Oryctolagus cuniculus: one gene and its partners. The protein of the gene in region 1 interacts with the protein of each later gene in a pairwise test. Links are inferred from orthologs where the notes say so. Each region holds a gene or a part of one and is shown on either strand. Other genes may lie near its edges.

Region 1 (10,041 bases):
GGTCGCGGTTGAACCGCTGCAGCTGGGCCGCGTACTCGTTCTTGCTCTCCTCGGCCATGTGACTGCGCAGGTGCGCTTGCTGCTTGGCCTGAAGGGCGGGGCGGGCAGGCGTCAGGGGCCTCCGCCCCATCCAGATGCCCGGAGTCCGGGGCCGGGCTCCGCGCATGCGCACGCACCTTCTCCACGTCCGCCTTGGTAGCGTTGATGTCTTGGTCCAGGCGCTCCGCGGTCTGAGCCGCCTTCTCCGCCTCGCGGCAGTCTCGCTCGAATTTGCGCTTGCTCTGCACAAGGGACGGAAGCGGAGTGAAGGAGCTGCCTGTCCCCAAGATGGGGGTCACTGAGCACAGTGGGGGACACGCCTGGGGCGGGGGGCGGGGGGCGGGGGGGACAGGCAGTCGCGGCCAGGCAGGGAGGGCAGCTCGGGCCACTGCCTCCGGAGCCGCGGCCCCCGCCAGCCGGCACACTCACATTCTCCAGCTGCTTGAAGCCGGTTTCCAGCTGCTGCTGGGCCCGCCGGCCCTCCTGGAAGTGCTAGGGGGAGAGGAGCCGCGAGAGACTTTTACCAGGGTCCTCCCGAAGCCCCACCCCGGCCCCCCGGCCCCCCGGCCCCCGGCCCCGGCCAGACCCAGGGCGCGGAGCCCTCACCATCTTCCTCTCCTGCCTCATCTCCTGCGAGTACTTGGCCAGTTCGAGACACACGCGCAACCCGAGGTTCTCGGCCACCAGCTCCCGCTGGCCCGCAAAGTCATTCACCTCCTGCAGAATCTGCACAAAGGACTGTTGCTGGCTGAACCTGGGAGACGTGGGGGAGGCGGGGACAGGGAGTCAGAGCCCCACCCCCGGACTCCCCACCACCACCTCCAGGTGGGATAAAGCCCCCAAGACACCCATCCCGAAGCAGTGGCAAGTTCTGGTCCACATCCCTCACGCGCTACCGGGGAGTGAGGTGCACTGCGGAACTGGGAGATTTTCGAGTCTTCGAAAGGAGAGGCACAGGTTTTGGAACTTGTGTGCATTGCCCCAGTGGGGCTGGGGCTGCACCCTGACTAATCGCCCTTTGTGGAGGTATTAATGGTGACAGCATCAGAATCCCCCGGGGTAGAGGGGAGGGCAATGCCTCCAGGACCCCGGGAGGATCCAAAATCCTCACTAGCAACAGGCTAAGGCGCTCCCTGGGCCGCTGGCATTCCACATCAGAGTGCATGAGCTCAAATCCCAGGTCCACTTCTGATTCCAGCTTCCTGGGAATGCGCACCCTGGGAGACAGCAGTGATGGCCCTGCCGGCCACGTGGGAGACCCAGCCTGGCTGTCCCCGGCAGATGGAAGAGATCTCTCTCTCTAGCCCCTCCCCCCAAAGTCCTGGCTGTTGTAGACATGTGCAGTATAAACCCAGCAGATAGAGATCTCGTGCTTGCTTTCCTGTAAATAATCAATGTATTTTTTTTTTTTTGGACAGGCAGAGTTAGAAAGTGAGAGAGAGAGACAGAGAGAAAGGTCTTCCTACTGTTGGTTCACCCCCTCAAGTGGCCACTACGGCTGGCGCTGCACCGATCCAAAGCCAGGAGCCAGGTGCTTCCTCCTGGTCTCCCATGCATTCTAAAAAGTAAGCTGCATAGTGTTCTCGGCTACCTCGCCCCCTCCTGTACACCTTAAATCACCTGTAGCTGACATAGCCTCCTAGACAAGGTGAGTGCTACACTGTATCATTTAGGGACTAGCAGCACAGGGGTGGGACTGCGCATGTTCAGTGCACAGGTGATTTTGAAAATTCAAGTATTTTGAGACACAGTGCCCAGGGAAGGCTGCATTTACACCCAGCGAGATAAAGCCACCATAATCTCGCCTCACCTACGTTGGAGGTGGCTAGCAGCTCACCAAACACACTGCTGATGCCCAGAACTTTTTGGATTTTGCAGTGAGGAACTCAGAATAAAGTCAAGCGCTCCCGGGACAGTTAGGACAGGCAGGGGACCGCGGTCCTGAGTCCTGGGCAAACTCCCCTCAGCCTCACCTGAGCAGAACAGGACAAGTGGCTCCGTTCCCACGCCCACTTCTCAGATGAGGAAAACTGAGGCCCCAAAGCCGCAGGCCCAAGGTCACTCACTCTACAAGTGCTCGGGCCTCCCCGTGTAACAGGTAGGAAAGACAGAAGCCGAGCCAGGGAACCCCGCGCGGCCCCCCCACCGGCAGCCTAGCCCCGTGCCCCGGCCCCAGCCTCACTTGGATTCGGGGTCATCCTTGGGAAGCCTCTTGGGCAGGTACTTTTTCACCAGGTTCCTAAGGGGAGACAGAGGCGGGATGACTGAGCGCCCTGAGCCGCGGCCGCCCCCTACCCGGCCCGGCCGGGCCACGGGGTCTCCAGCCCTCCGGGTCTCACCGCAGCTGCTTGGCGTACGCCTGCTCCACCTCGGCGCGCTCCTTGACGAACTTTACGTATCGGTCCAGCAAGTCCAGCCCCCACTGCGTGTGGCGTTCCAGGACCTCGAACTGATCCTGGCGGGGGGGAGGGGACGGCAGGGCCCGGGTCGCGACCTAGGGACTTCGCGGCGCGCCCGGCTCCAGGGCCCCCGCGCTCGGCGGAGGAGGGGCTTCCAGGCACCGCCCCGGAGTGGCGCGGGGGCCGGCAGGAAACTGGCGGGAACCCCCTCCCCTTCCCGGGAAAGGGCCCCAGCCGGACGACGGGGTCTCCGTCTCCGAGCGGCCGAGAGGGGCGTGGAGCGGGGCGAGGCCACTCCCCTGCACAACCGTCCACCCCCCCGCCCCGCGCGCGCCCGGCTCCCCTAATCCCCCCCAGATTCCGGAAAATCCGGCCTGCCCGGCGTGAGTCAGGGCAGGGATCCCTGGCCGCTAGCTGGGGGCCCGCAGGGCCCGGGGGCAGGCCCCGAGCGCCCCCCGCCGCACCCCACGCGCGCCTCCATCTCCCCACGGGCTCCCGGAGAAGAGCCGACGGTGCGGGACCAGGGTGCGGGCGGAGACGCAGGCACTCGCCGCTCCCGGAGAGGGGAGGGGTCTTAGGTCCGGCCCGGACCTGGAGCGACCCTGGGGCTTCCCGGGCCCGGGGAGGGCAGGGTTGGAAGATCGCTGGGGCCCGGGCTCGCAGCCCCCTCCCCCTCCGAGGGCGCCCTCAGCCTCCCGGGCGCTCCTGGGAGGTGGGCGGCCCTGGCGGGGCCCACGTGGGACACGGGACGGCCAGCCGGACAGGCGGGCGGCGGGCAGGGACCCAGGGGCCGTAAGATAAGCCGCGGGCCGCGCCGGGACGCCCAAAATAGGTGACCTCGCCCGGCCGCCCCGGCCTGGCCTGGGGACTCCGGCCCGTCGCGCTCGCGGCCCCGTGCCTCAGTTTCCCCGGGCCGCCCTGCGAGGTGGGTTTTCGCCCCCCGCCGCGGGGGTTCCGTGACGCCCCCCAGAAACTCGTTGCGTCGGTGGCGCCCAGAGACCCTCGGCTCGGTGCGAGGGGAAGCGCGGAGGCCCCCCCGCAGCCCCCGCTGGGGTCCGCTGGGGACAAAAGGGGAGGGGGAGTCCGAACCCGAGCAGACGGAACTTGGAGAGGCGCCGATCGGACTCACCCACAACTCGGTGCCCCAATCCATGCTGCTCCCGCCGCCGCCGGCGCCGCCGCCCGCCACCCTCCGCCCCGAGACTCGGCCCGGGGCGGCGCGCCGACCCCGCCCCGCCCGCCCCGGACACGCCCACCCGGCTGGGACACGCCCCCGCTCGCTTTTCCCCGCCCCCTGCCCTGCGCGGAGACCGCGGGCGGGGCCCGGGGAGGCGGGGCCCAAAGGGCGCCACGCCCCCTCTTAAAAGGACCCCCGCCCATTTTCAAATCCCCGAGGGCCCCTCTCCACCCACCACGCCCCTCCCCCGCCCCAGACGGGCCTTTCCTTTCGATCGTTCCTTAAAGGACCCGGACAGGAAAAGCCCCAAGCCCGAGAAGTCGTCCCTGCACGGTGCTGCAGGCAGAACCCGAGGTCACCCCGGCCCGGCTCCAGGCGTGGACGTTCGTCCCACTAATGGTCAGGTCCCTCCGGCCGCAGGGCGGATGGAGGACTTCGATCCTGCCAGGTCCATTAGCGCCCCCACCGCATCCTGCCTTCCCTCCCCAGGGGAACCCGAGGACGGGCTGTCCTTGGGACGCGGGGCCCAGGCTTTTCCCTCCGGCCCGAGTCTGCCTGCACCTGCCCACTGTCCAGCTTCGCCCACCGAGGCCCCCGAGAGTCCCGGACGCCCGCGCCCTCCCCCCCCTAGAAGGGTCCGCATCTCGTAAGTCCCCTCGAGGCGCCAGGATAAAAGGGAGCGGCCCTGCGGGCCCCCGGCCCCCAGCTCCTGCCTTCTCTGGAGCTGCAGGGGTGGGGTCTGGGCCCCAGAGGGACCGGAGGGCGCAGGGACACCTGCCGGCGGCTGCACCCGGTGGGTTGGTTTCGCGGCTCCGTGTGAGACCGGGGCTCGGCTCTGGTGGGACACCCAGCCCAGGTCAGCACCACGGTTGGGGCGGGGGTCTCAGCCCCAAAGGCTGGGCGGGGCGGGGCGGGGCGGGGGAAGAGCCAAGGTTTTAGGCTGAACTCGGGGTCCGGCTGCAGCTAGGGGAAACCGTCGGGGATCCGGAGTGAGCCTCCAGTGTCCTCGTGCGGAGGCGGAGGCGGAGGTCATAGGTCACAGGTCATCCTCGGGTCGCGATGTAACCTCCGTGGACCAGGAAGATTAGGAGAACGGGACAGGCCTCAACAGACTGCGTGTGTTTACCAAGAGCCAGAGCTCTGGCCGGGAGCCACGTCCCACAGGGTGAGAAGCGGAAGTCCGACCTTGGGGCGTGCTGGGAAATGTAGTTTCTGGGTGCTCGGTGGCCCTCGTCTGTTCCTGGCTGCATTCTGGGTAGTGTAGTCTTAGACCGTTAAGAGTTAGGTGGAGGAATTCCGCTTCAAGAGCAGGATGCCAGCTGCGCTCTAATTGGTTAGGCGGACTGCTTATCATGCTATATCCGGGACGATCTTTCTGGTGATTGGTGAGCGTGGGGGCGGGGCTACGTGGTATCACGTCTTCCATTCGGAACTGGTGCTGTCCGTCTGGTGTCACGTAGGCGCGGGTTTGAGAAGAGGCCATCGATGATTGGTTCAACGGGCTGGAAAGTCCGGAGAGCCTGGCCCCACCGTGCGGCGATTGGCTCCCCCGGAGGCGGGCCTGGGGGCGTCAGAGGCGGTGTCAGGGGAGGCGGCAGCTCCAGAGATGGCAGGGAGCGAGAGGAGGGGGCTCGGCCGCGGGAGCCCCGCGGAGTGGGGGCAGGGGCTCCTGCTGCTGCTGCTGTGGGGCAGCTGCTCCGGGCGCATCCACCGGCTGGCGCTGACGGTGAGGCCCGCCGCGGGACGGTCGGGGGCGGGGGGCGCGAGGCTGTCCCAGAGAAGCCCCCGGCTTAAGTGGTCTCGTCCGACCTCCCCCGCACCTTCTGCGGGATGGAGCGGCCCGGCGCCCCCCACTGCCGGGCGAGTGGTCCCGTCCCGAGATCCCCCTCTCTCCCTGCGGATGGAGCTGCCTGGCCGGCCCCGCCGGGATGGTGGGGGGCGGGGGGCGCCATCTCCTGGGACCCCCCCCTCCCCCGGCTCTTAGCCCTTTAAATTCCTGTGGCCGCTTTGGAGACGCTGGGGAGCCCTGGCGCCGCTCGAGGACCGAGGGGGTGGGGGTCCCTGGACGCTGCCTGGGGTCCCGGGCTCGTTCCGCAGCGGGGGGCGTCCAGGCGCCCCCCGATTGTCCTCCTGGACGCTCAGGTCCGCGCTCAGGGCATCCAGGGCCACGCTGTCCTCGGTCCCCCGGCACGGCCTCTCCTGACTCGCTCCCGGGCTGTCTAAGCACTGGGGCCCAGAGCCCCGTGGCAGGCGGGAAGCGGAAGTCTGAGCTGCCTCCCTGGTCTCCGGCAGGGGGAGAAGCGAGCGGACATCCAGCTGAACAGCTTCGGCTTCTACACCAACGGCTCCCTGGAGGTGGAGCTGAGCCTCCTGCGGCTGGGCCTGGAGGAGACGGGAGAGAGGTCCCCGCTGGTGAGGAGCTTGCCCGAGGAGGAAGCAGGTGCCACGCTCCAGAGCACGCCTGGCATGCACACACGCCAACACAGCCCCCAAGGCACGCACACACGCCAACACGCACCAGCACAGCCCACCAAGCCACATACACACACCAGTATGCACACACACGCTAACACAGCCCCCAAGTCACGTACACATGCCAACACAGCCCCCAAGGCACATACACACACCAACACGCACATATACGCCAACACAGCCCCAAGTCACGTACATACGCCAATACACACACACACCAGCACAGCCCCCAAGACACGCACACACACCAACACGCACCAGCACAGCCCACCAAGCCACATGCACACACCAACATGCACACACACGCCAACACAGCCCCCAAGTCACGCACACACGCCAACACAGCCCCCAAGGCACGCACACACGCCAACACGCACCAGCACAGCCCACCAAGCCACATACACACGCCAACACGCACATATACGCCAACACAGCCCACCAAGCCACATACACACGCCAATATGCACACACACGCCAACACAGCCCCCAAGGCACGCACACACACCAACACGCACCAGCACAGCCCACCAAGCCACATACACACACCAACATGCACACACACGCCAACACAGCCCCCAAGTCACGTACACATGCCAACACAGCCCCCAAGGCACATACACACACCAACACGCACATATACGCCAACACAGCCCCAAGTCACGTACATACGCCAATACACACACACACCAGCACAGCCCCCAAGGCACACACACACGCCAACACGCACCAACACAGCCCACCAAGCCACATACACACGCCAATATGCACACACACGCCAACACAGCCCCCAAGTCACGCACACACGCCAACACAGCCCCCAAGGCACGCACACACACCAACACAGCCCCCAAGGCACACACACACGCCAACACACACACATACGCCAACACAGCCCCCAAGTCACATACACACGCCAACACAGCCCCCAAGTCACGCAACACGCACCAGCACAGCCCACCAAGCCACATACACACGCCAATATGCACACACATGCCAACACAGCCCCCAAGTCACGCACACACGCCAACACAGCCCCCAAGGCACGCACACACACCAACACAGCCCCCAAGGCACACACACATGCCAACACACACACATACGCCAACACAGCCCCCAAGTCACATACACACGCCAATATGCACACACATGCCAACACAGCCCCCAAGTCATGCACACACGCTAGCATGCACCAGCACAGCCCACCAAGCCACATACACACACCAATATGCACACACACACTAACACAGCCCCCAAGTCACGCACACACGCCAACACGCACCAACACAGCCCACCAAGCCACATACACACACATGTCAACACATGCCAACACACACACCAATACACACACCAACAAAGCCCCCAAGTCACATACACACACCAACACACACATCCCCACAGACCAACACGCACACATGTCAACACAGCCCCCAAGTCACGCACACACGCCAACATGCACACACATGCCAACACACACCAACACAGCCAAGTCAAATATACATGCCAACATGCACACACACCCCAACATGCACACACACCCAGCTCACACAGCCTGCCATGCACACACACACCAACACATACCTGCCTAACCACATACACACCAACACACACACACCCAACTCACATATACATGCCAACACACATACCTGCCAACACACACACCAACACAGCCCCCAAGTCACATACACACGCTAACACACACACACATGCCAATACACACCAACACAGCCCCCAAGTCACATATACAGCCCAACACATACACACATGCCAACATGCACACCCCCACAGACCAACACACACACACGCCAACACACACACACCCAACTCACATACACAGCCCACCATGCACACACACAACACATACCTCTCTGAACACATACACACCAACACACACCCCTAATTCATGTACACATGCCAACACACACACAACACAGCCCTCCAACTCACACATACCAACACACACTCAACATACATATGCACACACAAAACCAGCACACAATACCAACACCCCCCAGCTCACATACACAGCCCAACATGCACACACACACCAACACACACACTCAACATATTGAGATACATATATCAACACACACACCCCAACACCAATACACACAACCCAACACCTGCACACACCAACAAACACACCAGCATACACAGTCCAATGCACATATGCACATGCACGCACACACATCAACACAGCCACACACATGTGCACACACACGTGCACACACACAGAGTGCCGATCTTGAGCGAGTCCCTTGGCCTCTTTGAGACTGCACCGGCTGCTAGACTGTAAGAACGGGGTGACACTGACAGACAAGACAGCCCCAGTTTCTGACATCATTTGTGGATGCCTGCTGGACAGAGGTCCCCACTGCAAGGCCATCGCCACAGGTCCCCTCAGGGAGGCCCTGAGACACCCCTGCACCCAGTTCCGAGAGGATAGGACCGGCCGCAGGCAGGGGCAGGGGCAGGGGCAGCGGCAGGGGTCGAGCTCAGAGCCACACCCCCTGCAAGTGGAGGGCCCAGACTCTGATCCAAGCTTCTGTCATCTCCGTGGAGGGTGGACGGGTGAGGCCGCCTCCCCGAGGGACCGACCTCCAGGCTGCGGGGGCTGGGCTTTGGGAAACTGGGGCGAGTGGGATCTGGGGACCGCGCAGGCGCTAACACATGTGAGGTCCCCTCTCCCTGCCGCTGAGGGATGGTGGGGGCCTCTGCATCCTGCCCCTTCTCCTGCCTCCCAGGTGGGCTTCAGTCTGAGCCGAGTCCGGTCTGGCAGCCTCCGCTCCTACTCCGTGAGTGCAGGGTGGGGGACTGGGAGAGGGGAGGGGTCATCTGTCTCCCCTGGTCTGTCCCAGAGGCGGGAGGATGAGGAGGGAAGCAGCGTGGGGGTAACCAGGGCCGCCCTGTCGCCCACTCCTCAGGCCCGGGACTCCCAAGACTGCCTTCTCCAGCGAAACAGTAGCAGTAGCAGCTTCCTGGTCCTGTTCCTCATCAACACCAAGGACCTGAAGTGAGTCGGGGGGGGGGGGGGGCAAGGGGCGGAGCTTCCCGGCCGTGACAGCCACACGGAGCTGAGCTGGCCGGCTCAAACGAGAGGCACTGATGCCCACTGGGAGGAAGCCAGTCGGTTTCCACTTCACCTTCAAGCCTTCTGATGGGGGAGTGTGGGGGTCAGGAGAGAGGGAGGGGTCTCGGGACAGAAACCGGGAAGACGGGGGGTTGCTGGGAGAATCAGTGAGCGGCGCCCACACTTGCCAAATAGCTCAAACGCATGGTACCTGGCAGATCCCAGGCCCTGGCACTGGGGGGCTCCATCAGTGCCCAGGACAGCTGGCCCCTGGGCAAGGCGGCAGGGACCCGGCTGCTTCACCCAGCACCTGCTGCCTCCCAGGGTTGGCACTGACAGGAAGCTGGAGCCAGGAGCCAGGAAATGAATCCTGGCACCCCCGTGGCATCCTAGATGCTTGGCTGCTGTTGTCCTACAACCACGCGCAGATCCAAAGACTGGGATCACACTGGGGCAGGCAGACTGGAGATACTGTGTTGCCTTTCTTTAGATACAATGTGTTGCCTTTCTTTAGATACAGTGTGTCACCTTTCTTTAGATACAATGTGTCCTTGGTGCCGCCTCCTAGACAAAGGGCCGCCTTCCAGGCCGCCTTCCTATTGTTTCTCTACAGATATAATCCTTGCTTCTTGCTATCTGTTGACACTACTTTTTCCCAAATGCCTTAGTGAATTAGGAGGAGCAAGAGAAGAAATGACAACTAAAAGGTGGTGCAGGCAGCAGGGGAATGCACCACCAGCTTGGATGGGCGGTGGGCAGGTGCTGGAACTTTTTGGAGATGCACTGGGCACCTGCCGAGTTCAGTCTCCCCGCCCCTCGCCCCCCTACCCCAGGGTCCAGGTACAGAAGTATGGGGAGCAGAAGAAGCTGTTCATCTCTCCTGGGCT
Region 2 (10,152 bases), on another chromosome or scaffold:
TCGGAACAGAACTCCTCCAGGCTGCCCGGGTCTGAAGCCATGGTCTGCTTGAGCCGCTTTAGCACGGAGGCCCCGGCGGCCAGCCGGAAGAGGCCCTGAGTGCGAGAGGACAAGAGGGGGTCATGGGGGGCGCGAGGCAGGCTCAGCGGCGCCCCCAATCTGTGGGCGCCCTCAACTCCCAAGGTCCAGCAGAACTTGGGGCAAAGGGTGGGGGCTGGGGAGGATGGCGGGACACGGCGGGGAGGAAGGGGCCTGGGCTCTGTCCTGGCCTCAGGAGGTGAGCCAGGGGACAGGCAGGGGCCAGCGCGCAGCAGCCATGGCTCAGGGTTCTCACGAGCCACTTGGGCCGATTTCCCTCTGCCTCCGTCCTTCCTTATAAAACAGAGCCCTGAGGTCAGTGGGGTCACTAAGGGGAGCCAGGAATGCAAAGGGCCCACAGCGTGGTGCCTGGCCCAGCCGGGCACGGGGACAGGGTCGGCTCAGCGCCAGGAGGCCATGCCTTCTGCTGGGACAGGGGACGGCACGAGGGCCCCAGGGGCCCCACCTCCTCCTTCATGCCCTCCGAGAGCAGCATCAGGACGCAGGCCTCGATGGGCAGGGCGATGGCGCGGCCCAGCTCCTGCAGGTGCGTCCCCAGCGACACCCCATACACCCTGGAGAAGGGGGCGGCCGTCATCGAGGGGGAGGGGTCTGCAGGGACGAGACAGATCAGAGGCCCGGGGCCGCCCACCCCAGACACACACTCTCCCCACACCCGACCCCCGTGTCTGCCCTAGGCCTGGCCGCCACCTCCCCGCTCCACCTCCCAGCTCTGGCTCTGGTCCTGCTCCCTTGCTCCCCTCACCCCCACAGCAGCAGAAGCGACCTCGCCATCAAAGTCACGCCCAGGCCTCCCCCACTCCCAGCTCCTCCGTGGCTCCCCGGGGCGGGGCCACCCCCACCTGCTTGGCTGTGGTTCTCCCTCAGCTCAGACAGGGCTGTGTCCAGGGAGCTCAGCGACCTGCGGTGGTAATCAGCTTGAATCTCCAGGAGCTGTGGGGACAAAGGGCCACCCCCAGGGGCAGTGAGGACAGCTGCGGCCCCGTTCTCCCTGCCGCCGCCCCAGGGCTCGGGCACCCGGCCCCTCAGCTGCGCGCGGCCACGGCGCGGTCCTGGGGTCACCTGAATGAAGTAGTTGGCGTAGGAGTCCTCCTTGGTGGCAAAGTGGTACAGGTCGGCCAGGTACTCGTCCTTGGGGACAGAGCAGGGGGAAGCCCACCCAGTGAGTGGGGGGCCGGCAGGGGTCCGTGACCCACCCCAGGCCACACAGCTGCACTTGCGGTCCCAGCCAGCTGGCCGCCCTCAGCGGAGGTTTGTGCTTGGGACCGGCTCAAGAAACCCCTGCAGCTCCTGGGGGCTTCAGCCTCTCAGCCCCATCTCTGTGTCTCCACCTCCTTAGCACAGCGCCCCATCCTCACTCTTTGCTCACTCACGCACTCATCAAATGCACCCGCCTCCCGGGGGGCATGGCCGCGGTGTAGACAGAGGCGGCTATGCAAGGGGTGTAGACAGAGATTGTGCATGTGGTATAGACAGAGACAGCTGTGCCCGCGGTATAGACAGAGGCAGTTCCAAGGTCAGGGCCAAGAATGCAGACCCTGGAGCCTGGCTGCCAGGGTTCAAACCCCAGCTCTGCTGCCCCCCCAGCTCAGTAGCCTTGAGCAAGTCACGTCACCTCTCTGAGCCCATTTCTGCCCCCCTGAGTCAGGGACAGAACCCACCCCCGCACCCTCACCCCCCAGGGAGCCCCTGCACCCTCACCCCCAGGGAACCCCCTGCACCCTCACCATCCTGGGAGCCCCCGCACCCTCACCCCCAGGGAACCCCACCGCACCCTCACCCCCCAGGGAACCCCCCCGCACTCTCACCCCCAGGGAACCCCCCGCACCCTCACCCCCCAGAGAATCCCCCCGCACCCTCACCCCCCAGAGAATCCCCCCGCACCCTCCCCCCCCCCCGGGAGGCCCCTGTGCCACACCCCGCACCCACCTTGCATTGCTGCACCCTCCTCTTCAGCTCCTCCTCCTCCTCCTTCAGTGTCTCCACCTTGTTGGCTGCCGTGGTGTGGCTGTGGCTGCTCGGGCCGCCGCCCAGCCCTTGACTGCTACCTGAGTTCTTGGCTGCCTGGCTGAGCCTGGGGAAGACCCCGAGGTGGGGCGGTCACTGGCTTGTCCAGCGGGGCTGCAGACCTCAGAGCTCCCTGGCCACGGGGGCGCGGGGGCGCTCCCTGGTGGCGCCTTTGGTAACTACAGCCATCCAGGGATCTGGTGGGGACTGTTTACAGCTCCCCTAAGCTTCGGGGTCACCACAGCTGTCACGTGCATGTACCGCATCACACGTGCGGGCCCTGCAGCATCCTCCCCCTGTGGCAAGGGCCTCCAGCTCCGTGGCCAGCCCTGTGGCGTGACCTGGTGCGGCCCCTCCCCCCGCCCCGGCGGCGGAGGCGCGCACCTGCTCTTGAGGGCGTTCCAGTCCGACACGAGCTTCTGCAGGCTCTTCTTGTGCTTGAGGATGGCCGGCAGCTCCTCCTGGGGCGGATGTGGGGAGGGCTCAGTGGGCAGGAGGAGGGGGCGCGAGGGGCCGCGGGCGCGGGGGCTCAGTCACCTCACTCAGCCTGCTGAGTGGCTGCAGGACATCCCTCTCCAGCGTCATCTCGAACTCAGCCAGGATGCGGGCCAGCTGGTTCTGGATGGCACAGCTCATCTCCAAGGCTTTCCTGGGGACGGAGCGCCCAGTGGGCCCAGGCTCGCCGGGCCCCGCGTCCATCTGCAAATGCTCAGGGGGCACCCCTCCCAGCTCTCCGCCAATCCCACCAGGCCCAACGCCCTCCCAGGCCTGGCCACCCTCCCTGACCCCCACACTGTCACTGTCCCCACCAGAGGGGCCCCCTCCCAGCCCGACTGCGTCGTGAGCTCACCCCATGCTGGAGTCAGGGTCCAGCTCCTTGAAGCTCTCGGCCATCGTGGTGGACAAAGCCATGAGAGGAAGCTTCTTCTGCAGGGGGCGGGGCAGACGGCCGTGAGCCTGACAGCTGGACTCCCACCCCCCTGTCCGAGCCATTGGGTCAGCCCCGGGACAGGGGACGAGGGAGCCCAGGAGGGCCACAGCCACAGATGAGTCCCTGGGTGACCCCAGACACGGTGGCAAGGGGAGGGCCCTGGACAAGAAGGAGGGGCCGAGCTCTCCCAGGCTGGCAGAGGGCACGAAGCCTGCTCAGGTCACAGGGTTGGAGGAGCCTGGCTCACACCCTCCAAGGCCGCCTGCCCACGGTGTCCTGGCCACACGGAGTCCCACACATGCGCTCCCCCGACCCCCCTGAAGGCATGGGAGCCCCAGCTTTGGGGTCCGGGCAAGCAACTCGCCGTGAGCCCCCACTTCCTCCTCTAGGGCCTTGCCAGCGCTCAGCGCGGCCAGGCATGCATGCGTCTTAGCGACGGCCTAGCAGGAATCAGCGAGCATCCCTCAAGATCCAGCCCCAATGCCACTTCCTCCAGGAAGCCCTCGCGGGCTGCCCCACGGAGCACAGGCAGACTGCAGAGGGTGGGGAGCCATGCAGAAGGAGGCAGCGTCAGGAAAGGCACGGGGAAGACACAGGGCCTCGGGACAGGGCAGTCGCCAGGCCCTCGGTGCCAGCGGCTCCCACTGGCAGGGAAGCCCGGGGCCCCCTCGGAGCTCAGCCCCTGCCCGCTGGGACCCTCACCACTCTCTTGTCCATGTCCGCCCCACTCTGGCCTTGCAAACACGCCTGCAGCCGTTTGTGCACATTGTGGGCAGCACGCTTGGCGGGCTCCAGCCGCTGCTCCACCTGGGGGGGTGTGGGGAGGCAGGGGTGTGTGTGGGGAGGCAGGGGTGTGTGTGGGGAGGCAGGGGTGGAGGATTATGGGAGGCTGTTATGCCACGACATCCCCACCCCCAGCCGCAACCAGGAGCTGGAGCCACCTTCAGTTCCCTCCTCCTGGGGATCTGGTGGCCAGCAGAGTTGGGGAATGACTCAACCTGGGTCCCCAGCTGGTGTCCCCGCCCTGCCCTGGCTCTGACAGCCTGCGTGGGCTTGTCTTCCCACCCGCTGCCGGCCCAGGCACGTACCTGCAGCAGGTCCTCGCCCAGGAACTCGGCTGTCTCCGGCGTGCTGCGGGACAGCTTTAGCTCAGCACCCCCCCCAGTTTTGGAAGCCCCCTGCCTCCCCCTGCCCCCCAGCTGCGTGCAGGGCCTCTCCCAGGTGGGCCCACCCTGGGTGGCCCGGCAGCCTCATCCCAGTCGGAGCACATTCCAGGGGCAGCACATTCCACAGGGCGGCACGGGCCTTCCTCCACCCAGGGCCGTGTCCTCGCCGGCTGGGCAGGGGGCGGCTCTCCTCTGCCCACCCCTCACATCATCAGCCCCCCAAGAAGAAGTGCCGGAGCTGCTGCCTGGGCTGTCACTCACAGGGACTCTGCACTGTAGCTGCAGGCAGGGCTGCCCAGGGCGGGCCCTGGGCCCCTGCTGTGTCCCCAGCAGGCACTGGGGTCTGTGCTGGCGGGAGGCCACAGCAGGTCCGGGGACACCCAGCCCCTGCCCTGGCCCACAGAATGGGGAACTCTGGAGGCTGGGGGAAGAGGAGCGGCGGCGACAGGCCCTCAGCGCCTCCCCGGACTTCCGGCCTCCCCTCCACCAGCTCCGGGCTGAGGTGAGAACCCGGGGACCTGAGTGTGTTTTCCACCTGAGCCTGGAAAAGCAGAAGCAGCTGGGGCGGGGGAGGGGGCACTGCAAGGAGGCCCCTCCTCCCGCCAGGCCAGGCCCCTGCCTCCTCCCCTCCCCCAAGGGCTGGGGCCCCCGCGTCCACCCCTCCCCTTCCTCCAGCCGGCAGAGGGGCTTCGCTGTGGCCACTGTCCTAGCCGACCTGGGAGGCCGGGGAGGCTCATGGAGGCAGAGCGGTCCCAGCGCCCTGGGCCGGCCTCTTCTGCCCAGGGAGCCCCTCCAGTCAGGCGCGGGGGCGCCCCTTCCCGCAAAGGCCAGTCCGCTCCTCCTGGGAAGTGGGGTGGCTCCGGGGAGAGAGAAAAAGAGCAGGACTCAGGCCGGCCACAGCGCTGCCCAGCCGCCTCCCCCGCCACACGCGCCCCTCGACGCCCCTTCGGGTCCCGCGGCGGGGAGTGGGCGCCGCCGGGGGCTGGCACTCACCGTCCCAAGCTGCCCGTCTGGGCCAGCTGCCGCATGCGGTGCAGCTGCCGCTTCATCATCTTGGGGGCGGCGGCGGGTTGTGGGTCGCGCTCGGGGGGTCGAGGGCCCGGGCAGCCCCCAGCCCAGCCTGCCTGGCCGCCGCGGCGCTCGCTTCCTGGGCCACGGGCTCGCTCGCCGCCGCTGCCGCCGCCGCCGCCGCCGCCGCCGCCGGCTGCCTCCTCCCCCACTCGCGGCTCCGCCCCGGCCCCCAGGTCACTCCTCTCTCCGAGTTCGCCTCCTCGCTCTCCCCAGGCTTCCGGGCCCCCCGCCCGCCCGCCCGGCCGTCCACAGGTGGTGCTGGCGCGCGCGCCCGGCGGGCGGCGGGGAGCAGGTGAGCCGGCTCCGGCCGCCGCCTGCCGCCCGCGGGCCCCCGGGCAGAAGGGACCTTTGCCCCTGTCTTAAAGGGTAAAGAGGGCCTCGTGCTTAGGAGAGACAGGTCTTTGGGACCAGCGCTGGCCTGTCTGGGAGCTTGGGCACCCGGGGGATCCTGGGCCGGCTGCCTCCAACTACTGTCCTGGCCCAGCCGACCCTCAGCAGGGACCAGAGAGCCCACCCACTCCTCCAGCCTCCCAGCTCCAGGCTTCTGCTCCCCGGCCTCCTTTCGGGCGGGAGCCTGCACAGACCCCGCCCCTGCAGCCCCCACACCTATGGGCCCAGCCTGGACAGTCTCCTCCCCTTGCAGAGCCCTGCCTCTCTCCGCCCCGGGGAGGTGGGGGGGCTCAGCTCCATCTTTCCTCTCTGAAAGGCAACCAAGTGGGTGCTGCTGCCCACAGGGAGCAGGGGCTGACGGGCCCTCCCCCCAAAACAGAGCTGGGCATGCAGTAGGCGCTGCATAACTGCCTGTTAGTACAAGAGCCCCAGGTGCCCCCCGGGGGGGGGAACCACTGGAGCACCTACTGTGTGCTGATTCCCCCAATGGGCCCTTCGGACCCCTCTGTATTCCCAGTGCCCCCCCATCCCTGAGGGGAGACTTGAGCGGGCTCCCCCCCCCCCCACCGTGAGAGCCTCTGATTGGGGAACCAGAAGCTAAAGCCCACCTGGTGGAAGTGGGAGGGGCCAAGGAAGGGCCCTCTCCCACCTCCCCTTTCCCGCAAGGAGACGGGGGTAGGGGGGTGGGGGGGTGTTCCAGAAAGAAGGCAGGGCTTGGGGAATGAGAGAAACGCCAGCGCCCTGGGGTCCTCCTTGTTTGTTAAGATTTATTTACTTGAACATTGGAGTTACAGAGAGAGAGGGAGAGAGATTTTTCCATCCACTGGTTCACTCCCTGAATGGTCAAGACCAAGCCAAGCCAAAGCCAGGAGCCAGGAGCTTCATCTGGGTCTCCCGCGTAGCTGGCGGGGGGGCCCAAGCACCTGAGCCATCCTCCACTGGTTTTCTTTCTTTTTCTTTTCTTTTTTTTTTTAATTAAAGATGTATTTATTATTTGAAAGTCAGAGTTACACACAGAGAGAAGGAGAGGCAGAGAGAGAGAATCTTCCATCTGCTGGTTCACTCCCCAACTGGCCACAATAGCTGGAGCTGCGCTGATCCGAAGCCAGGAACCAGGAGCTTCTTCCGGGTCTCCCATGCAGGTGCAGGGGCCCAAGGACTTGGGCCATCTTCTACTGCTTTCCCAGGCCATAGCAGAGCGCTGGATCTAAAGTGGAGCAGCCAGGACTTGAACCGGTGCCTATATGGGATGCTGCCACTGCAGGCGGAGGCTTTACCTGCTATGTCACAGCACCAGCCCCTTCTCCACTGCTTTTCCCAGGCGCATTAGCAGGGAGCTGGATCGGAAGTGGAGCAGCCACTAGACCTGGCTCCTTGAAGTGGTGAGCTGGAGTTTGGAACGTGTGGGTTCCAGTCCTCTCCTCTCCACCTTCCCCACTGGTCAATCCCCAGACTTCCAGGTGGCCCCGTTTCCCTGGCCCTGCCATGGGCACAACCTACCGAGTGCAGCGTGAGGGCACTGGAGACGCCAGGCGCCGCCCCCCCCCTCCCTGCGCCTCCAAGTCTGTGGACTTCACTGTGCCCTCCCCTTCTGGCCCACACTGGGCCCGGGCCCTGCAGTTCCCCAGCTGCTCTGAAGGTCCCCGGAGGCCAGACTTGGACCCGTGTCCCCCCCCCCCCCCCCAGCTTGTCTAGGCTGAATTCTGGAGCTCTGGTCCGGCATGGGATCCATCCTCTGGGGCTGTCGCAGCAGCTGCCATGGAAGGGCTGGAGCCTCATGACCAGGTCCCCCTGCTCCGAGGTCCCCCCAGCCAGACCCAGGAGTCCTGGGCAGGAGACACGCCCAGCTCTGCTGGGCGTGACCTGGGTGGGGCTGCTGCGTGACTTGGCTGGGGACTGGGGACAAGTCAGGGCCTTTCCTGCTCAGACAGGGAGGTTGGATCCCAGCTATAATGCGAATCTTGAGGACTCAGAAGCTGCAGGCAACTGGTGCTGGGATCCTGGCGTTTTAGAACTGTGCGTGCAGACGGGGGACGTGAGCGGTCACCTGCCGAGCCTCCCGGGGCCCTTCCTCCAGGGCCTCCTGCCTGGGGCTCAGCTGGCTCTCGGTGAATCCCCTGGGCCCCTGCACTGGGCCGTGGTCTGGGGAGCGGACAGTCACGGCAGGTGACGGCACCGTCAATGGACGCTCAACTGTACCCTGCAGGCCGCTAGGACAGGGCCGACAGGTGCAGATGGACACAGCCGCAGGGTCAGCCTCTCGTGAGCTGGGTGGCCTGGGATGGTCCAGCTCATCTCTCGGAGGCCCAGTGTCTCCTGTGTGAAATGGAAACACAGCAGTAACTAGCTCAGTCCTCGGAAACATGCTGGCAGGGCCGGCGCTGTGGCATAATGGATAAAGCCGCTGCTTGCAGCGCCGGCATCCCATATGGGCACCAGTTCAAGTCCCGGCTGCTCCACTTCTGGTCCAGCTCCCTGCTAATGCACCTGGGAAAGCAGCAGGTGGCAGCCCAAGTGCTTGGGCCCCTGCATCCACGTGGGAGACCAGCATGGAGTTCCTGGCCTCTGGCTTCAGCCTGGGTTGTCCCTGGCCACGTGGGCATTTGAGGAATGAACCAGCAGATGAAAGCTCAGTCTCTCACTCTGTAATTCTGCCTTTCAAATAAATATTTTTTAAAAAAGAAGAGGACAATGCCTGGTAGTGTTTACCATCATTATTCAGTCCACCAGGTCAGGGATGGAAAACCTCTTCACCCCGGTTCTGCCTCTGTGACCCCCTACTGTGCTCAGCTGCCGTGGGTGGACCATGCAACGTATTGTCACGTGCCCTGGTACACCTTCCAGTGAGGCGGTGTCATTGCCCCATTTATTTGGGGGGGGTGGAGAGAGCGAGCTCGCCTGTCTGCTGGGTCACTCTCCGAACGCCCACAGTGGCTGGGGCCAGGGCCGGGGCAGGGGCTGGGCCGGGGCAGGGGCTGGGCCAGGGCCGGGGCAGGGGCTGGGCCGGGGCAGGGGCTGGGCCGGGGCAGGGGCAGGGGCCGGGCAGGGGCTGGGCAGGGGCTGGGCCGGGGCCGGGGCCAGGGCCGGGGCAGGGGCCGGGCAGGGGCTGGGCCGGGGCAGGGGCTGGGGCTGGAAGCGGGAATGCAATCCAGGTGTTGAGGTAGGAACTTAACCACTGGAGCCACTGCTGCGGCCTCCCAGGGCCTGCATCTCCCGACGGGAGGTGGCGCACCGACCAGCGTCCTAACTGCTGGGCCGAATGCCTGCCGGGCCCATCCCAGGCTCCTGCCCGAGGTGGCCGGCCGGCTGGCTGGCTGGCTGCTACAGGTTGACTTGGAAAGCCCATCGGGCCCACAAAAGCCCACAGCTGGCCTCCCGCAGAGCCCAAGTGCCCTGCCCGGGAACTCCGGCGGTGCTGCCCTTGGCCGGCCTCAACCTCTGTGGCTACATCAAGGGGCCCAGTGACCTCAGATTTGCCTGGGAAAACCTGTGACACCCCGGGTAGTGCCTGCTGGTGAAGCCGGAGTGGGATGTGGGCAGCGTGGCCAGTGGCCAGTGGCCAAGGCGGTGTAGCAAAAACAGCCCGTTTTAGACACGGGGATGAACTGCGTGCTTGTGGCCGCGTCGGTGCTGCCCGCTGAGTGGCGCCCCCCACCCCTCCCACACCTGCTTTCTGCAGCTCTGAGAACTGACTTTCCCCTCCCCAAGCTACAGGGACTTTCCAGGGAGCCCCGGGGCTGTGCACCCCTCACCACAGCCCCTGAGGAGGGCAGGCCGGGCTGACGGAGCAGTGGGTGGGGGTGGGGGCTCAGGAGGCAGGGGCAGTGTGACCCCGTAGTGGACACCTGCTCTTGAGCCTGTCCCGAGTCGCGAGGCCTTTATCTGAGCAGTGAGGGAACCAGAGACTGCAGGCAGCACCGTGGCATGCGCCAGGCCTGGGGCTGGCATCCCTGGTCCACCTGTGCTGGGCCTGTGCCCTGCCAGGAGGCACACAGAGAAGGCGGGTAGGGGGCACCAGGAGACCAGGTGGGGGCTGGTGCCCGGGCCGGCGGGGCCTCTCCAGCTCTCTTGGCTGCTGCGTGCCCGCGAGCAGCGTGTGCTGTGGTCGCTCAGAGTGAACTTCCACCTCTGCATGCGGCAGCGTGGCTTTGTGATGAGGGAAGTCCCACCGCTCTCGGTGTTGACACCCTGCCCAGCCCCTGAGAATGCCACAGCCCGGGGGCTGGACCGGCACAGGGCACCAACGGCTCGAGTCGGCATTTTTGACAGCCAGCCTTGGCGTTTGTCTTTCCCAGGCTATGAACATGTGTCATGGAGCAGTGGCCTCACGCTCTCGAGGGCGACCCCTGGTCCCCTACAGGGGGCTGCTGGTCGAGCAGGTGCACTGCCTCCCGGGCTATTTCCCACACACGATGGGCTTATGGAGCTGGAACCCCGGGAAGCTGGGGAGCAGCCATAAGTAGTGAGCAAGCCCTCCAGGCAGGGTGG
Region 3 (10,108 bases), on another chromosome or scaffold:
TTCATCTGGGTCTCCCACGTGGGTGGCAGGGATCCAAACACTTGGGCCATGTCTTGCTGCTTTCCCAGGCCAATAGCAGAGAGCTGGAAGGGAAGTGGAGCAGCCAGGATCTAACCGGTGCTAGCATGGGATGCTGGCGTTGCAGGCAGCAGTCCCTGTGAATTTACTTTTTTTTTTTTTTCCTTCTTTTTTTTAATTTTTTTTGACAGGCAGAGTAGACAGTGAGAGAGAGAGACAGAGAGAAAGGTCTTCCTGTGCTGTTGGTTCACCCCACAATGGCTGCTGCAGCCGGGGCGCTGCAGCAAGCACACCGCGCTGATCCGATGGCAGGAGCCAGGTGCTTCTCCTGGTCTCCCATGGGGTGCAGGGCCCAAGGACTTGGGCCATCCTCCACTGCACTCCCGGGCCACAGCAGAGAGCTGCCCTCGAAGAGGGGCAACCGGGACAGAATCTGGCATCCTGAATGGAACTAGAACCCGGTGTGCCAGCGCTGCAGGCGGAAGATTAGCCTAGTGAGCCGCAGCGCTGGCCCCCTGTGAATTTACTTTTAATAACTACATTTAAGTAAACAATACACACAAACAATTTGGGGTGTAACCATATTCTGAAAGGGATCTGTAGCTGATTAAGTACTACAGCATCTACCTGTATTTGAGAAAGAGAAGGACGCACACAAAACAACCGTGATCCGACAGAACTCACGGTGCACACACTGACTCTGGGGCCCCAGGTCAAACCCTCCAGGTTTAACTAAAAACCTCAGACGCAGGGCAAGTTCACAACACAAGGGCACTCTGAGAGGTTCACAGACAAGGAGAATTAAAAGATAATGTGCATTTCCCACAAAGTTTGTGATTCACAAAGGATGATGCCAACATGATCACATCCTTTCACATCTGGTTTTTTTCCCAACTCATCTAGAAATACTCTTGATATTCTAGGATTTCACAACATACATGTAACAACAAGGCCATGGCAGATCAGACTAAAAAGACATTGCAAAGATGCAGGGCCGCTTTCCACCCCAACTCAATGCAGACGCTGGATGGAACGCCTGGTCCAGAAGCAGAGCACACCTACCTGTCCACTCTGAGAAATACTGCTTGGGGCTGGTGCTGTGGCACAGCAGGTTAACACCCTGGCCTGAAGTGCCGGCATCCCATATGAGTACCGGTTCGAGTCCCGGCTGCTCTACTTCCAATCCAGCTTTCTACTATGGCCACAGCTGGCCACATGTGGCCTCAAAGCATTTTGTTTAGTTCCGTGTACAAGGGGTCTTCACACTGTAGGAAAACTATGCCTGGATTTCTAAACAGCTTTGTAACAAAATGAGCTTAACTTTTAATTCCATTTTGGCACAAGGTCTTGAAGAACCCCTGTAGCATCATGGGGGTTGCTGAATTTGAAACGAATGCCCGCCTATCGTTCACTGAAGTCCAGATTTCAAGGTTTTCTTGAAAACACCAAAGATCAGGGCACACAGGGTCCACATTCCTACCTGGCTCACAGCAGACATTGATTTTACTAGCCTGGCCCTCCAGGCATTTGGGTTTCTAACCTTGGCTTATCTAAAGACAACCATCTGGAAAAGCATTCCGAGTTCCAGGGGAAACTGGTCACTGCGGAATCAATACCCAGGGAGATGCTCCCTCCCGGAGCCTGGGTACTGTGCCCTCTTAGTTCCATCCCTCAGATTCCTCCGTTCCTTGACACCTCCCATAACACCAAGCTCCTGGTCCTGGTGTACACCTTCCCCATTTAAGATGTGGCCTGCCCGAGAGCACCATCCGTGTCCACCGGATCGCCTTCATTAAAGGTTTTCAAGAAACAAAACATCTCTTGTTCATTCCAGCAGGACTGCAGAACACACTGTATGATGTCCATGCTTGCCTGACCCACACACATTCTCCCCTTTGGCCGGTAACAGCACCCAGTTTACCCTGGGGAGGCAGCACTCCTCTACCCTCAGTCCATAGGGCTGGGGTGGGGCTGACACCATTCCATTTCCAGGCAAAGCCTATGACTCAAAGGCATTCAGAGCCAATCCTGGGATTCTGGCGACAGGGACCAGGAGAAAAATATTCTTTCCCTCTGTGACTTCAACTGAGGACAATGGGAGACTGTCGGGGGCAGGGGGTCTCCCTGTGGACACTGCCTAGTAAGGAGTGGAACTCTCTGGCTCCAGCGAACTATGAAGCCACACTACTCTTGGTCTCCTTTGGTCATTTATGTGCCCATTTCTATCTTTGGTCAAGGCACCTGAATTGGATTTCCTTCCACCCAAAGAGACACAGTCAGTACAAGAAAAACCTGAAAGTGCTTAAAGATGGAGGAAAAATCAAAGGCTCTGCTCATACTTTCTCCTCTGGAAAACTTGGGCGACCTCAGTCCACCCAGTCACAGCTAGGTTTTGCCCTCTGCATCGGCCTTGCACTTATCTCCTGGACATAATTATGTTCTGCTTCCCTATCTCCTCTACAAATCTACTGAGCTCCTTCAGGGCAGAAACCAGGCATTCACCCTTATTCTTTAATGTACAAGGGGGAACAGTCTGGGCTGACAAGCTCCTGTTGAATGCCTCAATCAACAAAGGCAGTGGACTAGAAGAACCACCCACGTCTCCTCTTTGGGACACCACATCAGGACCCCAGCTCCCAAGCTTTGCCCCGATGATCCACTAGACCATCTTCTCGCACAGTCTCACCCACCCATCGTAAACAAATTGCATCATGAGTACTCACTCGTCCAGGCATTACTAACTCTCCACACGTCCATCCCAAGGAGCCCCACTGTGGGGTTAGTCACAAGGTCTCCATGCTAGGGAGAAGACTTCATTGCAAGACACCACCAACCAAGGGGCATGCCACTCACATGTAGAGCTTCCTTCTCCACCCAGATCATGAAGGGCGGAGGGGGGGTGCGGGATCTTCTAGGCTTCTAGCCTTCATCTTTACCCAAATACATTCAGGATCCTGATTCTGATACACACCATCCATCTGCTTCCAAGAACTAGGCATTCGGGGGCTCTCTCCTGCTTCCATTTTTTTTCTTTCCTAGTTTTTTGTGATGATGTTAAGTGGAAAAAAAATACAAAAATATCTAGGAAATCAGCAAGTAAGAAATGCAACAGGTTCCTCAGTGTAGACAGATGTTCTGACTTTGGGTGCATAAACACCACACCCTTAATAGCTCTGCAATAGCTGCAGCTTCCACTGGCATCTAGCAATAAAGATTTTCAAACAAAGTCAAAGATCAGATCCAGAATTACACTTCCAGCATGAATCACCCCTCTATTTAGTTCACCGTTTCCCATACTGGAGCCCACACCACCAGGGCAATCCAGTAAGAACCAGAATCCTGGAGTTAACAGCGTTCAATGAGCATCTATCATGTGGCAGGACCCATAGCTGACCCTGGGCATGAAAGGCAACACAGCAAGGACTCTCAAGGTGTTCAGTGTCACCGAGAGCACAGACAGGGGGAAACCAGGTTACAGAAAAGCAGGGGTGCAGGGGAATAGGAAACACCCGGGACGGAAGGCTTCCAGAGGCACAGAGACCTCTAAAGGAAGACTTGAAGACTGAGGTGGCCACAGGCAAGGTGTGGTGAGACAGACTTCCCAGAGTTCCAGGTCAGAAATGAAGAAAGCACGGCCTCCCCTAGAAACTGAAAGCAGGCAAGCTAGGCTGGAATTTAAAGTGTGAGAGGAGAAGCCTAAGAGGAAGCAGGAACTAGAGACCCTAAATGGCTTTATAGACCCAGAGCTCTCAGAACTTTGCCTGGAAACAGCAAACTTTCCTTGCCTGACACAACAATGTAAAAAAAAAAAAAAAAAAAAAAAAACAGCCAAAGTGACCATCTAAGCACTGAGCAGTAATTCTAGACTGCACGAATGCAGGCACCAAACTCACAAGGACTTCTATCATTCACTTGCAGATCCTTGCTTGAAACTTCAGCCCCTATTACTACTCACGTCCACCTTCCTCCTGCCATTATTTCTTTAATTTTCCCACAGATAACAGCAAAGGAGCCTTGGCCACACGTCAGGAGCAGGGATTAACTCTCCAAACGGGAGAAAGGCCCACCAAAGACACCACGGCAGGGCAAGGAAAGAAAAAGGACAAAACTAAGCAAAACGTTGAAGGAAACGAAACAGTGTAAAAAGCAAATTTAGAAAACTCAAGAGGAAGTAAAAGTATTTTCACAGACACACAGAAAAAGAAGTGTCCCACGTGCTGCAGCCAAACCAAACTCCCCTTTACTGTTTAAAAGAAAAAAAAAAAAAGGAGAAGCTGCAGCAAGAGCTGTGAAAAATTCACACTTTCATATCTCTTCGCAGAATAAACAGTAAATTGGGTTACAGCACAGCCCAGCTGCCCTGGAAGTCCTTGAAATGCTTGGCCCAGCCGATAGCGCTCATGGTAACCACCTCTGAGAAGTTCTCCAAACCACAAATCATTCCTGCTCCGACATCCTGTTCACCCACGCACTCCAGCTCACTTTTGTCACTTAATAATCAATAACGATTCTGCTTAAGCGTGACAGCAGCACCAAAGAGCCACGGATGAGCAAGCATCCGTCTCCAATTCCAAGGGGGAAGACTGTGTCACGGGCACAAGGTGTCTCCAAAAATCCTTTTCCTCCCAACCCCGGATTTCTAAATGTCAAGAACTTGCAGCCGCTCTCAAAGTTCCTATCTAAGCCCAGGGTTGGAGACAGCAGCACCTCCGAATGTCCCGAGCAAATCCGAGCGGCTTTCATCAGCCTTTAGCTACCCTCCGGCCACCGTGCACTTGCAGGAGAAGGGGCTGGGGAGGGGCTGGCAAGGCAAGTCCCCTCTGCACAGCGCTGGGCACAGAAAGGGACGGGGGAGGTTCAGCACGAGGCGGCGAGCCCGGGCAGACTCGACCCCCGAAGAGGGAAGCTAAGGATCGGGTCTACTAGTCCCGCAAGGGCAACGCTGCTCCGGGCCGGGACAATGAGCAGCCCGCAGCCCCGAGGGGTGGCCCTGGAGGAGGCAGCGGGCCGCCCGGCTCGTCTCGGGGGAGCCGCCCGGAGCTCGCTCGGCGCCCAGGCCCCGGCGCGGCACAGCCCCCCGACTCCGAGCTCCGCGGGGCCCCGGGCGGGGCTCTTGAGGCCGCTCGGGAAGCCGCTGGGCCCGAGGAGGGGCCGCCCGCCCCCAACCCCGAGGCGACCCCGGCCCGCCCCGGCCCGCCCCGGCCCGGCGCACTCGCCTGCCCACGGTCTGGTTGGCCAGCTGCTTCATGCGGTTGAACTGCTTCTTCATGGCGGCGGCGGCAGCCCGCGGGGCTCGGGCCGGGCGAAGCAGGGGACGGCCTGGCGGCTCCTACATCGCTTCCCGGCCCAGGCGGCGGCGGCGGCGGCGGCGGCGGCGGCTTCCCCGGCCCGGCCCCGCCTTCGCCGCGTCACTTCCAGCGGCGCCGCCCGCCCGCCCGCCCGCCTGCCCGTGAGGAGGCCGAGCCGAGCCAGGCCGAACCAGGGAGGAGAGCGAGCGAGGGCCCGGGCGCCGGCCCTGGGAGCCTCGGCCGCCCCGCCGGGGCCCCTCACCGCGCCACCACCGCTCTAGTCGCTTTCGGTCCCTGAACCCGCGCCTCGTGTGGCGCCCCAGCTCGGTGCCCTTATGGTTAGCTGATCGATAGATCGATACGGTCCGGTGGGGTTCGATCATTTCAAACCCACCACCCTGAGGAGACCGCGAACAACGGACACAGGACAACACACGAGTAAATCACTAACACCGGCCCTAACTCCAAGATGTGGGCTAGTCCCGGGACGGAAACAGCCGATGGCCTCCCATGCGCCAGGCTTGTGCGCGGGTGTAGACCTCTTTCAGTACGCTCTGAAGGTACCGCTCAGATGGCTGTGTTTCACCGTGGGAAAACCTTCCTTCCATTCAACAAATGATTGTGGGGTGAAAATAACAAGGTTGCGGAACACCAATGTTGCGACTCAGTGCAATAATGAAAAGGGGAACGGTGACATGTATTACTCCTTACAAACATTTTTTTGTATTTATTTGAAAGGCAGAGCAGAGAGCGAGCGAGCGAGTAAGGCTCGCATCTGCTAAGGGTTCGCTCCCCAAAAGCCTGCTACAGCCAGAACAGGGCCAGGCAGGCGGAAGCCAGGAGGCAGGCACTCGGTCCCTTCTCCCACGTGGGCGGCAGGGGTCTGGCGGCCTCCCTACTGCGCATGGGCAGGAAATTGGGCTCTGGAGGGGGTCCTAGACTCCACCCAGAGGCTTGGATGTGGAATGTGGGTATTCCGAGCCGGGGGAGGGGGCGACAGACCGGCCAGCCCCTGTATTTTTTATACCGGGGCTCGCACACGCTCTGGGAAAGATCCTTTATTTGGGGGCTTTTCGCGGTGTGGTGCCGGCAGCGCCTGGCGCTGGGGAGCAGGGGCCAAGGGCCGACGGCGCCAGCAGGCTTTGGGGGGACGGGGCGGAGGCCGGTGGGCGCGGCCTGGGCTCTCCGGGCAAGGCCCTGTGATGGAGAATAAGGCCCATTGTGGTTCTGCCCTATATAAGCCCCCAGCGCGCGCTGGGGCGGCGACACTTGGCGGGACTGTCCGACTGCCCTGGACGCTTTCCCGAAGCGACCCAGGTCAGTTCTGTGACCCGCAGCAATGTCCTCGTGGCTTGGTGGCCTTGGCTCCGGCTTAGGCCTCTCCCTGAGGCACGTGAAAGACAACGTGGCTTCCCTCGGGAGCCAATTATCGGACGTTACAAAGGGGGTGCTGAGGAAGGGTGTGGAATCCTTGCAAGATGAGAGGCTAAGAAGTCTCTGCAGAGAGCTGGAAGAAAAGTACCAGGCAGCAGAGCTGAGGAACCACCTGCAGGCCACCCAGTACCAACGCACCTTACAAGAGAAAGAGGCTGAAATCCAGCTTCTCCAGGCAAGGCAGCTGGCGCTAGAGAGCCAACTGGAGAAACAACAGGCCCAGCAACTGAAATCCACCAGGGACATGCAAGAGCTGGAAGACAGAGTGCAAGATCTGAACATCAAGGTATCTGCTGCCGAAAATACAGAGAATGTCTTGAGACAAGAACTAGACCTAATTAATGAGAAAGCAAGACAGAGGGAACGTGCACCTAGTGAGCTGCTCAAGGCTCTCGCCAGTCTGCTGTCTGAGGTCTCTCAGCTGACGGTCATCAACGGTTTTCTGGAGGAGGAGATAAAACATCATCAAGAGGTGACAGAGGTGGAGACGCAGGGCACGGACTCTGCGGCAGCTGCGTCCATTGACACCAAAGGCGCTCTTCATCCTCGGCAACACCTCCTAGTGTACACCTGGGAGAGAGAGCAAGTACTCTCCGTTGGCAAGGACTGGGCTGGAGAATACAGCTGGCTGAGAAAGGAGTATCTCCTAGGCTCTCTAGAGAGTCTCCAAGAACACAGCCTCTCACAGCATCGAGAGAAGTACACGGAAGACCGGGCAGGGCGAGCCAGAAGGCCAGCCCAAAGTATCCAACACGAGTCCCTGGAGCTTCGAAAGGCATTGAGACAGCTTTCCACACCATCTGTGACAGACAGAGAGGACGACGACACTCACTTGGCCCAACCTGAAATGAGCAAACACCAAGAGATGGCTTCTCAGATAGAACACCTGAAGAAGAAGCTAGACTTTTTACAAAGACTGGTGACAGGCAAGGGCCTTTTCATTAAAGCCAAAAATGACCAACTGCGCTCTCTGAAGAACCACCTTGCAAACAAAGTGAGAAAAAACACGACTCTGAGGCAAGCGGTGAGGAGCCTAGAAGAAAGCAAGTCAGCGCTAGAAATGGAGGTCTACAAACTGCGCCAAGAGAAGGAGGACGCAGTGGACACAGCCAGGACCAAGGAGAAGGCTTTACAGGACTCGAACCTGAACCTTCAGATGCAGCTCCAGGAGCGGGACTTTCACTGCTACGCAGTGAAGGAGAAGCTGAAGCAGAAAGAGCGAACAGCACAGCAGCTCGTCCGTGTGCTCCAGTCCATCCCGGAGAAGCTGCTGGCATTCGAGCGCAAGCAAGATGCGGTGCTGTTGGCGCTGCAGCAGACGCACGCGGAAGAGCGAGCCCTGCAGCGCAAGAGTCAACATCTACAGGACAAGTTACTCCAGGAGCTGCGGGGAGTGCTCGGCCATCTTCTCCCATCTGCAGGTGCTGAGGTCCCTGAGACAGCCGATGAGGAAGGTGGACGGGCTGGCATGGGATCCCCGGGAGCCCCGAGAAGCCCCACGGGGGCCTGGCTGCCGCAGCCAGCCCTGGTCACCATCCCCGCCACCAGCACCACGGGCAAGGGCCTCCCAGGGCTGGCACCTGCAGGCGACAAGAAGATCATCGCCAGGAAGGTTTTGGGCACCGTAAAATGGTTCAACGTCAAAATGGGATATGGCTTCATCCACAGGCACGACAGCAAGGAAGACGTGTTCGTCCACCACACGGCCATCACCAAGAACAACCCGAGGAAGTACCTCCGCAGTGTGGGAGACGGCGAGACGGTGGAGCTGGACGTGGTGGAGGGCATGAAGGGTGCCGAGGCGGCAAACGTGACGGGCCCCGGGGGAGCTCCCGTGCAAGGCAGTCAGTACGCGCCGGAGCGCGGCCATTACGGACGCTACCCGCGGCGGAGGCGCGCTGGGCGCCATGACCGCGACAGCGACAGCGACAGCGAGGGGTCGCAGAGCGCTGCCGAGAGCCAGACCCGAGCACGCTGGCCCCGAGGGCTGCTGTGCCCTCGCTGCCTGAGGGGAGCCCCCGGGCGCGGACGAGCGCAGCGCCCCCAGCCTCCCGTGCAACCCGAGGGGGCGCGCACGGCCCGGCCTCGCCCCAGCCGGCCCGCGGAGGACGCCCCAGGTCTGCAGCCGCCTGACCGCCACAGCGGTGACGCACGCGGGCCCCCTGACGCCTCCAAACCCCGCGACGGCCAGGAGACCCGAGCCGCCTGTCCAGCCGCCGAGAAGCCGGGCGCCGCCCAGGCTGAGTGACTGCGGGCGCCACGCCGCCGCCGCCGCCGTCGTCCGCCATCGCCATCCAACAACGAACGGACGTGGAACTCCGGCGCATGGAGCGAGCGGCATAGTACAGCCCGAACTCTCACTATGTTTTTTCCTTTTTGTTTTTCTCTTTCTCTTTCTTCTTTATCTCTTTCTTTTTCTTTTCTTTTTGTCAGTTGACCAGATTACTAGAACTATTTCCATTCTCTATGCGGCACGCGGTGTTTATTATTTTTAGCTAAAGATCTTTTTTTTTTCAAATTCTCGTTTTTCTCAAGTATACCTTTTAAGGTTTGAAAATTATTTCAGATCTGTTCAAGTTGAGATTTTTAATAACTGTCTTTAATCTGTAAGAAAAGTTTACAACTTGACTTTTTTCCCAAAAAAAGTCAACAAACTGAAGCACCTGTTCATAAAGGTCTTAACAGGAAAAAAAAAAAAGTGATACTGACTCCACTAGCCAAGTTCTCATATTGGAGGAAAAGCTAGTTTCACCTGCTGATGACTTGGAATGTTCTCGCAGGAAGTTGCCTCACATAGTGAGTCCAGAAAAAGTCAACGATTATCTCCAAACGAGGGCTGAAAGGCATGACAGCTCTCTGTCCCAAAAGAACAAGAGAACCAGTGTGTTGTACGGCTGAATGAGAAGGAAGGTTTAACACTTCCTCAGAACTGTCTGCAGAAGAAGATTTGCACGCAGCAAACCAGAGAACCCACACGGCGAGATCCAACAGGAAGTACCACTAGCTTTCGAGAGATGGGGGAAATATTAAACCGAACACCAGAATGTGTGACAAATTTTCAATAAAGTTTTAAAACTCTGCAAAAGTGTTTGGAGGAATTTCTGTAGAACCTCCCAGATGGTCCACTCACAGGACACACAGCAAATTTCAGCCTGAGGGTGAGGGTAGGCGAGGGAGAGGGGATGGAAGAAGTTAGGATTGCTGGGGCTAGCACTTGTGGTTCAGCGGGTTAAGCTGCCTGCAATGCCAGCATCCCATGTGGGTGCTGGTTCTAGCCCCAGCTACTCTTCCAAACCAGCTCCCTGCTGATTCATCTGGGAAAGCAGCAGAAGGTGGTCCAAGTGCTTAGGCACTCACCATCCACATGG

Evidence for each region. The genes of interacting proteins can lie anywhere in the genome.
Region 2: the proteins of TRIP10 (region 1) and SH3BP1 interact in binary tests that used the Homo sapiens proteins (3 or more experiments, as listed by UniProt). The two-hybrid records come from large-scale screens. The link is inferred for Oryctolagus cuniculus from reciprocal best matches to the Homo sapiens genes TRIP10 and SH3BP1.
Region 3: the proteins of TRIP10 (region 1) and rho GTPase-activating protein 17 interact in binary tests that used the Homo sapiens proteins (3 or more experiments, as listed by UniProt). The link is inferred for Oryctolagus cuniculus from reciprocal best matches to the Homo sapiens genes TRIP10 and ARHGAP17.

The regions. Positions count from the first base shown.
Region 1 is NC_091447.1:60,897,622-60,907,662, reverse strand, and holds the start of TRIP10 (cdc42-interacting protein 4), read right to left. Parts: upstream 5,114-10,041; 5' UTR 5,099-5,113; coding exon 4,742-5,098; exon of another isoform or gene 4,579-4,741; intron 4,472-4,578; exon of another isoform or gene 3,909-4,471; intron 3,693-3,908; exon of another isoform or gene 3,592-3,692; coding exon of another isoform or gene 3,568-3,591; intron 2,495-3,567; coding exon 2,379-2,494; intron 2,279-2,378; coding exon 2,222-2,278; intron 794-2,221; coding exon 646-793; intron 532-645; coding exon 469-531; intron 282-468; coding exon 177-281; intron 89-176; coding exon 1-88. Other genes in the region: protein GPR108, read left to right, coding at 5,222-5,341, 5,908-6,027, 8,829-8,879, 9,009-9,097, 9,988-10,041. UniProt on the Homo sapiens protein: Required for translocation of GLUT4 to the plasma membrane in response to insulin signaling. Required to coordinate membrane tubulation with reorganization of the actin cytoskeleton during endocytosis.
Region 2 is NC_091442.1:114,516,296-114,526,447, reverse strand, and holds the start of SH3BP1 (SH3 domain-binding protein 1), read right to left. Parts: upstream 5,417-10,152; 5' UTR 5,256-5,416; coding exon 5,197-5,255; intron 5,061-5,196; exon of another isoform or gene 4,919-5,060; intron 4,842-4,918; exon of another isoform or gene 4,465-4,841; intron 4,169-4,464; coding exon 4,126-4,168; intron 3,845-4,125; coding exon 3,740-3,844; intron 3,034-3,739; coding exon 2,957-3,033; intron 2,756-2,956; coding exon 2,644-2,755; intron 2,568-2,643; coding exon 2,491-2,567; intron 2,174-2,490; coding exon 2,029-2,173; intron 1,231-2,028; coding exon 1,162-1,230; intron 1,033-1,161; coding exon 942-1,032; intron 691-941; coding exon 545-690; intron 96-544; coding exon 1-95. UniProt on the Homo sapiens protein: GTPase activating protein (GAP) which specifically converts GTP-bound Rho-type GTPases including RAC1 and CDC42 in their inactive GDP-bound form.
Region 3 is NC_091450.1:14,473,834-14,483,941, reverse strand, and holds the start of rho GTPase-activating protein 17, read right to left. Parts: upstream 5,417-10,108; 5' UTR 5,288-5,416; coding exon 5,235-5,287; intron 1-5,234. UniProt on the Homo sapiens protein: Rho GTPase-activating protein involved in the maintenance of tight junction by regulating the activity of CDC42, thereby playing a central role in apical polarity of epithelial cells.